2 linked regions of the Schizosaccharomyces pombe genome follow. The protein of the gene in region 1 purifies or fractionates together with the protein of each later gene. This does not show direct contact. Each region holds a gene or a part of one and is shown in the gene's direction. Other genes may lie near its edges.

Region 1 (3,926 bases):
GATGCCAATCCTGAATTAAGCTTGCTCTTGGATTACAATCTTGCACGTTGTGAAGAAGAATTGGGTAACACTTCTGTAGCTAGTGAAGCGTATGTTTCGATTCTCGAAAAACATCCATCTTTTATTGATGCCCGTATTCGCAAATGTTTACTTCAGTTATCCAATCCTAACGAGGAAACGTTTAAAGAAATTCGTCATATCATGAACGCAGATTCTCAAAATTTAGAGGTTCGAGCATTTTTTGGTTGGTATTTGAGTAAACAAAAGCGTCGCCCAGTAGAAGATCCTGAAGTTAGACACTGCTCTCAGACCCTTAGACATTGGCACGATGACATTTACTCCCTAGTTCAACTCGGTAATGCCTATATGAGACAGGCAAGAGAGTTTCGTGTACATAATGATCGTGAAAAGTTAAAAAGGCAAAAACTTTACATCAAAGCTATTCAGTCTTATGATCAAGCTATTAAATTTGATCCAAAAAACGCACACGCTGCCCAGGGTATTGCCATTATATTAGCACAAAACAGGCAATTTTCTAAAGCTCTACTTATTTTGAGTAAGGTTCGTGAAGCAATTAAGGATGCTACAACACTCATAAACATTGGCAATTGCCTTGCAGAACTCAAACAGTTCAGTCGTGCTATTGAGGTATTTGAAACCGTGTATTCTAGTACCGGAGAAAGTGATACTTATGGTGTATTGAGCTGTTTAGGCCGAGTTTGGCTACAGCGTGGTCGCGAAAGCAAAAACGTCGACTATTTAAAAGAATCCGTGCGATATGCTACATTAGCTTTAGAAAAAAATCCCGAGAATCCAAGCCTTTTATTTAACGTTGCCTTTGTACAATTCCAGCTATGTGAGCTCATCCGTCAGAAACCCGAGAACAGTAGAACTGTTGAGGATCTGAACTTTGCAATGCAACAGCTTGACGCATCGATTGAAACTTTTACCAAACTGGTGTCTGTCGAACATCCACCCTATTCTCCTACCAGTATTGAACAACGTGCAAAGATGGCTAAAAATACTACTAAGCGTCAATTGGAGCGCGCTATTCAAGCGCAAATCGAATATGAGAAGAGTGTTGCTGCCAAACTTGAAGATGCTAGGATTCAAAGGGAAAAGGAGAAGGCTCGAAGATTGGCAGAGGAAGAAGCTTTACTTAAGGAAAAGCAAGAACGTGAGAGGCAACTTCAGGAAGAGCGACAAAAGATGCAAGAAGAAGTTTTGGAGTGGAGAAAGAGTCAGCAGAAGGCTTCTGAAGATGATATGAGCTTGTCTGATGACGAAGAAAAACAGTCAGGCAAGAAGAAAAAGAAAGATCGAAAAAAGCGTAAATCTAAATCGAAACAGGAATCCTCGGATAGCGGAGTAAGCGAAGATGATGAAATACCATTGAGCGATGCCAGAAATAAAACTAAAAAACGTCGTGTTAATAGAAGAGTCATATCCGAAGAGTATACTTTTGACCAGGATAGTGACGCGGAGGGAAATCAAGAAGAGGAGGTTTCTCGTACTATCGAAGAAAAGCAGGATAACGATATCACAGACAATCAAGATGACAATAAAGAGTTAAATCTATTCTCTGAAGAGGATGAAGAATAATAATTATGCTCATTGCTGTTTGAATTATGCCGTTCAGATAAGAATTTTCTTATTTCAATGGCATATTAACTTTCTCCCTTCAGTTATTTGTTGTCTGTCATATATATGATTTATGATCTCGTGTAATAATATCATTTAAATTAATTTTTTGTATACAAAAGCTCTTGTCATTCATTTACGCTTTTTAGACTAGATTTGTTTTTTTCTATCCACCCTTTCAAAAAGAACTAATAGGTTTATTCACCCAAGAATCGTTTCATTCTACTTAAATAACATTAACATGCGTGTTAAAAGTGATTTGAACATTGGTGATTAACATGCTCAACTGTGCAACATAGTGATGATTTTAGCGCGCCTGTATTGCAAACATTGTTCCCCCCTCCCCACACTAATCTCACAGTTTCTAACCATTTTATCAAGTACTTTCTGAGCCTTTCTTTTTTTTCAAATGAGTTATTTGTCCGTCGGGGATGAAGTCCTCATCCGTGGAGAATTAGGAATAGTTCGATTTGCCGGTAGTACTGATTTTGAAAGTGGTATTTGGTTAGGCGTAGAATTGTTAAATGGAAAAGGAAAAAATGATGGAAGCGTAAAAGGGAAACGATATTTTTCATGTGAGAAAGGAAAAGGGATATTTGTACGCGCATGCTCTTCGAATGTGATGAAAAGACCAAGTGTCGTCAAGTCAAGGAAAAAAGGATCAGAAAACATATCAAATTTTATGGAAAAAACTAAAGCAATTAAACAAAAATCACGTAGGGAGCCCTCAAAATTTGAAAGATCATTGGCACGCCCATTGTGCATTACACCTATTGATTCGTCTACTCCCACAAAGACAGCTACGTTTTATACTTCATCTACAACTGAAAATCTAGATGAGCTAAATTTTTCAACAGAAGAATTATCAAGTTTTGACACTACTTTGTTAAACTCAGATACGAGCAAATTGTCTGGGCTTGACGATAGTAGTTTTATGGAAGAGGAATTTGTATGGCAAGTTGACAACGTTTTGCAGGAATGTGAAAAAAAATTTACTCCTCATTCAAAGGGAAGTTATTTAAAAGAGAATTTAAAGTCAGAATTAAGGAAGGGTCGTTTGGATGAATTGATGTGTGAAAATACCGCCTTAAAAGAAAAAATTGATAAATTAAATAAGGAATTAGAGAAAGTTGAACCTCAGTTGACATTCCTTCGCAGTAAAAACAGTATTGAAAAACCTCGGAATTTTAGGCGTGAAAAGTTTCTCAAAAAATTCTTGGCTATGCAGAAAGAAATAAAGTATCTAAGAAAGCGAAAGTTGCAAATTCGAAAGATTCCTAATTATAAGTACTCTGATCGAAGTTTGAATTCCAAAACTCCTAAAAGCCAGGACAACTGGACTACACAAGTTACACCATCTAGTCTCCTTGGGGTCTCAGAGGTTTCTAAGGTTTTGCAATTAAAACAGGTTCAGGTCGACATAACTGAGCTTGTAAAAATTCCTAAAAACCCGTTTTCTGAGAAATTGACAATATCTAACGTGAATAGATACTTAAATATTGTACCGGGAAGTTTGGATTTACAATTTTCATTAACAAATGAAAATTTTGTACATTGGAATAGCACAGTTTATCAAGAATTATTAAACTTAAAGTCCAACAACTCTTCAGTGGATGGTGTGAAGACAAGAAGGCAACTGTTGGAGGAAAATGCTTTGTTGTCTCATAAAGTATTAAAACTAACAGAAGAAATTCAAGACTTGGAAACTTTGAATCAGCTAAACACTGAAATAGAAGCAAGACAATCGGAAAAGTTAAATGAGGTGCAAGAGGAAACTCAAAGGCTATCTCAGTTACTAATATCTTCTCAACCTGCTTTGACAGAAGTTAAACATTTGAAACTATGCTTATCAGACTCTCAAGAGGAATTATTGCAATTAAATGCAAAACTTGAGAAAGCAAATATTGTAATAGACGAGTTAAACAGTGCAAAATTGAAACTATCAAAACAAGTGGAGGAGGAAAGTAGTATGAAAGACGACCTTACAGAAATGAACCAACGTTTAAAAGAACAAATTGAATCATACGAGAATGAAGTTAACTCTGAAATCACTTCTAGAACATTGAAAGAATTTGAAACATTAAAGACACAGTATGAGAAAAATCTTTGTAATTTAAGAGAACAGCTAAAGACCGCAAGGATGAAACTGGCCGATAAATATCCACAAGGTGACAATACTAGTGAAAATATAGACTGGCTCAAACACAGTTTACGGGATTCTAATACTGAAAACTCAATTCCAAGCCCATTGACCTTTGCCTGCAAGGAGATAAGAAAATTAGTTG
Region 2 (3,926 bases), on another chromosome or scaffold:
AATACATTTTAGCTACTACTAAATACTTCTTTTGATATTCTTTTTAGTGAACAATAAAGAATATTGGTTTGATCAACACGGTCATCTTCAGAAAAAAAATTTTTTATTCGTTGGTTTAATTAGTTAAGAAAATTTTTTTTTTCTTTCTTCGCTGACGTCTCGATAATTAAATCTGCGAACGGTGATACTTCTATTCTACACATTTCTATTTAATCACTGTTATTTTCTTTTCTTTTTAATTTCATCAATAAACATTTTTGATTCATCGCTATGTTTTCTATTCTTAAACAAGGTGTCATCTCCAAGTCTCTTTTAGCCGCTACCTCTTTAAAGGCAACGGCTTCAAGATTTTCCTTCTCTACTAGTGTTGCTTCCCGTGTTGACGGTACTAAGAATGGTTGGTCTTTTACCGCATCCAATGTTGCTGATCAAACCACCGATATCGGCATTAACTCTGAGTCGGCTATGAGCTGTAACGACCAAGAGCAACCTCTTTCCTTTTACGTTCAAACTGTCAGAGATGACTTGAACTCTCCTAATTGGGGAGCTGAGCAAAGAAAGGGTGCATTTGATTGGGAAGTAAGCGCTTAAACCCGAATATTGTATACAAGAAGAAAACCCGATTTCCGTTATGATCAGAAGAAAATAATAAAAAGGGAAAACAAAAAATTGGAAAATTGAATGTTTTATCTTATTCGATAAAAGCATTAAACAATCTAACAATGCAATCTTTTTTAATTCGTTATTTTCGCTTTTCTTTTTTTTTTACTCTTCTTGATGTAATTGTTAAGACATGGATTTTATTTTTATTTTTCTAAGGAATTTCGATTATTGGAATTCTTTTACCACCCCCATCCCTCTTTTTATTACCAGTTTCAACACATTGGTTCCCCTGCTTTAGAATGTTTATCGATATAAGCCGTGAACGGTTCCTTGCTTTTACCATTTTTAAATGAGGCAAGACATATGTATTATTAGTTTATACCCCCAAGACTTGTTAGTCTTTATATTATTAGTTTGTCTACTTGTTGACTATAATGATAGTCGCTGATAAAGTTGAAGTTTCCACCTTAATCTTTGTTATTTTATATCCAATTCGCCATGGTCACATTGATTTGATTGAATTTTCGGTTGCTGGATTACAAAAAAGAAATGCCAAATGCGATACAACTGTTACATTTAGATTCAGAATAGGAAATTGTTTGTATAATTAAAAAATAGAAATTGTTTATTTTAATACATTACTACTGATTAATGAGTAGATGAATGGTGGAAGATTGTAAACAATTATGAAGACAAGGTCAGCATTGTCTTTCCGTCTAGCTAAGAAGCAACCCGATGTGCAATTTATAAAGTAGTGCGGTTTAGTGTTGATACGTTATCTTTTTGATAGTTTGATTAGTTATTTCGAAAACACGTTAAAAATGCAGTGAATTTTGTACAGTCTTCTTTACAATCCATTCAACAACAATTACGAGTACGAGCGGCTTTATGATGGGTCTAACCAAGATGTAAACATAACCATTATTAAGCATATACTACAATTCAACTGAAGAAACAAATTCAATCGAAAGGGTTGTCGTAATTTCTTTATATGGTTTTCATTCAAAAAGCCTATTGAATGAAACAACTTATGTATGATAATTGCAGGGTATAGTGATACATAACGAAGCTTAATACTGCTAAGTTTCTTGTCAAGCATGCTACTTTCTTTAGACAATTCCCAATTGCTTTAACTAATAGCTGTTAGTGACCAATTTCCATTGGTTTAAGGTATTTTTTTAAAAAATTGGTACGATTGTTGTTCCTCCTGTTAGTATAAAATTTCTTGGCAAAGCCCAAAACCTTCAAAGTTGCGTCTTCTATTACTGTTTACCCGCCATTTCCTTCATTATTGCTAGTGCTCTCAAATTTCAAGCCGCTTAAAGAATAATTTAAACCCTTAATAAAACTTTCTTTTAAAACCTCCGAGTCTCAACTTTGATATTTCAGCTTTTTGGATGACTGTTACTGAAATGTGCGTGTCTTTTGAAAGAATTCTATTTATTGACGCGTTTTAGCTTTGATAATCAGCCGATATGTATCGACAATGTATGCCAGACTCTTTTTAGCCGGCTATTTCCTGTTAAACTGTCTAGTTATATTGACAAAACTATCTAGGGCTCTGGATTTATTAAAGCTGGATTCGCTGGCGATGATATTCCCAAATGCCTTTTTCCGACTTGGTATGAAGTTTATTTCTCATACTAGATACTAATATACAGTGTTGGAAGAATTAAGCATGAGCGTGTCATGCCAAGTAGTATCCAAAAAGATATGTTTGTTGGTTCTGAGGCTCAAAATCTTCGCGGGTTGCTTAAAATTCAACGTCCAATTGAACGGGGAATCATCCAAAATTGGTCCGATATGGAAGAGATTTGGAGCTATATTTATTCAGATCAACAGCTCAATACTTTACCGGAAGAACATCCCTTGCTTTTAACCGAACCTCCTTTGGCTAACATCCGAAACAAAGAAAAAATTGCAGAGTATTTTTATGAAACGTTAAACGTTCCAGCATTGAGCTTTTCCTTGCAGCCTGTATTGGCACTGTATGCCTCCGCACGTACAACTGGCATTGTTCTTGAATGTGGAGATGGCTTGACTCATAGTGTTCCTATTTATGATGGGTTTTCCATTCCATCAGCTATACAACAAGAGGAAATTGGAGGTCGTGACGTTACAGATTATTTGCAATTGCAACTTCGAAAATCTGGCCACGAACTCGTCAGCTCGGCGGAGAAAGAAATTGTCCGGGAAATTAAAGAAAAATGTTGCTACGTAGCATCTGACTTTAGATCAGAAATAGAATCATGGACTGAACACAAACCGCAGATTCATACATATCAACTCCCAGACAACCAAACTATAACTTTGGGTACAGAATGCTTTTCTGCGCCTGAGGTTTTATTCAACCCGGAAATGATGGGTTCTGAGGCGTCTGGTCTTCACATACAATTGTTCAAGTCTATTTTATTGTCCGACATCGATTTAAGGTCAACCTTATATTCAAACATTGTACTTTCTGGAGGTTCAACGTTATTGAGAGGATTTGGGGAGAGATTCATCTCTGAGTTACGTGCAATTTCTGGGAAAAAAAATCAAGTTAAAATTTATGCTTCCCCTGAACGTATGCATAATGCTTGGCTTGGCGGCTCAATATTAGCCAGTCTAAGTACATTTCGTCGGCTTTTAATTACTTCAGAGGAGTATAAAAATGATCAAAACGTAATTTTTAGGCGAAGATTTTGAAACTTAAAACGAGTATTGCAGTTTATCGCTCTTCATTTGAAACTTTTAAAACCAATATTACATTGTACCAGTCTAAAGCTTTAAAATTTGGTATATCTTTTAAACAATCAGTCTAATATTTTCAATTCACTAAGCTATACAAAAGAATACCAGCAGCTACTGAGACGTTTAATGAATCAACGTATTTATCACCGCCGGGAATTGAAACATAATGAGAACATTGCGTTAAAATGTTCGTTCTTAAACCCTCTTTATAAAGTTAGCAATAAAGGCATTCATACAATACACTTACTTTCACTTCCTAGTACAAGTATTTTCGGTTCATTCATTAGTTCTGTTTTGATTTTATGCGGGGTGTAAATTTGATCTTTGTTATCTGGCAAAGCTGGCTTGGTCCCTATGACTTTCCAACCTTTTAAAACTGAGTTCCTCAAAAAGACCATAGGATTTTTCACGTGGCTAATGTTGAAGACTTCAAGAGCTCCAGCTGAAGCTTTACTAACGACCGGTGACAAGAATGTATTATGTTTTTTTGATAATAAAATCCCTTTAGCGCCTAAAATATACTTAAACCCAATTAGAAATTTTAAATAGTAGCAAACGATAGCTTACAGCGCTTCGAATAACGGCACCCA

The links.
Region 2: the proteins of ssm4 (region 1) and arp1 purify together in Schizosaccharomyces pombe (affinity purification with western blotting; one study listed by BioGRID). This does not show direct contact.

Annotation. Positions count from the first base shown.
Region 1 is NC_003424.3:4,534,811-4,538,736, reverse strand, and holds the start of ssm4 (dynactin microtubule-binding subunit, p150-Glued Ssm4), read left to right. Parts: upstream 1-2,000; 5' UTR 2,001-2,050; coding exon 2,051-3,926. Other genes in the region: RNA polymerase II-associated Paf1 complex subunit Tpr1, read left to right, coding at 1-1,602. UniProt on the Schizosaccharomyces pombe protein: Binds to nuclear microtubules with the effect of either modifying their structure or function. This then promotes meiotic nuclear division.
Region 2 is NC_003423.3:4,081,937-4,085,862, forward strand, and holds arp1 (centractin family actin-like protein Arp1), read left to right. Parts: upstream 1-2,000; coding exon 2,001-2,017; intron 2,018-2,060; coding exon 2,061-2,091; intron 2,092-2,160; coding exon 2,161-2,225; intron 2,226-2,264; coding exon 2,265-3,291; 3' UTR 3,292-3,412; coding exon of another isoform or gene 3,413-3,540; 3' UTR 3,541-3,572; downstream 3,573-3,926. Other genes in the region: protein sro1, read left to right, coding at 271-591; SPOM_SPBC1347.14C (uncharacterized protein), read right to left, coding at 343-708; mrm1 (ribose methyltransferase), read right to left, coding at 3,413-3,540, 3,584-3,857, 3,904-3,926. UniProt on the Schizosaccharomyces pombe protein: Core component of the dynactin complex which assists cytoplasmic dynein by increasing its processivity and by regulation of its cargo binding.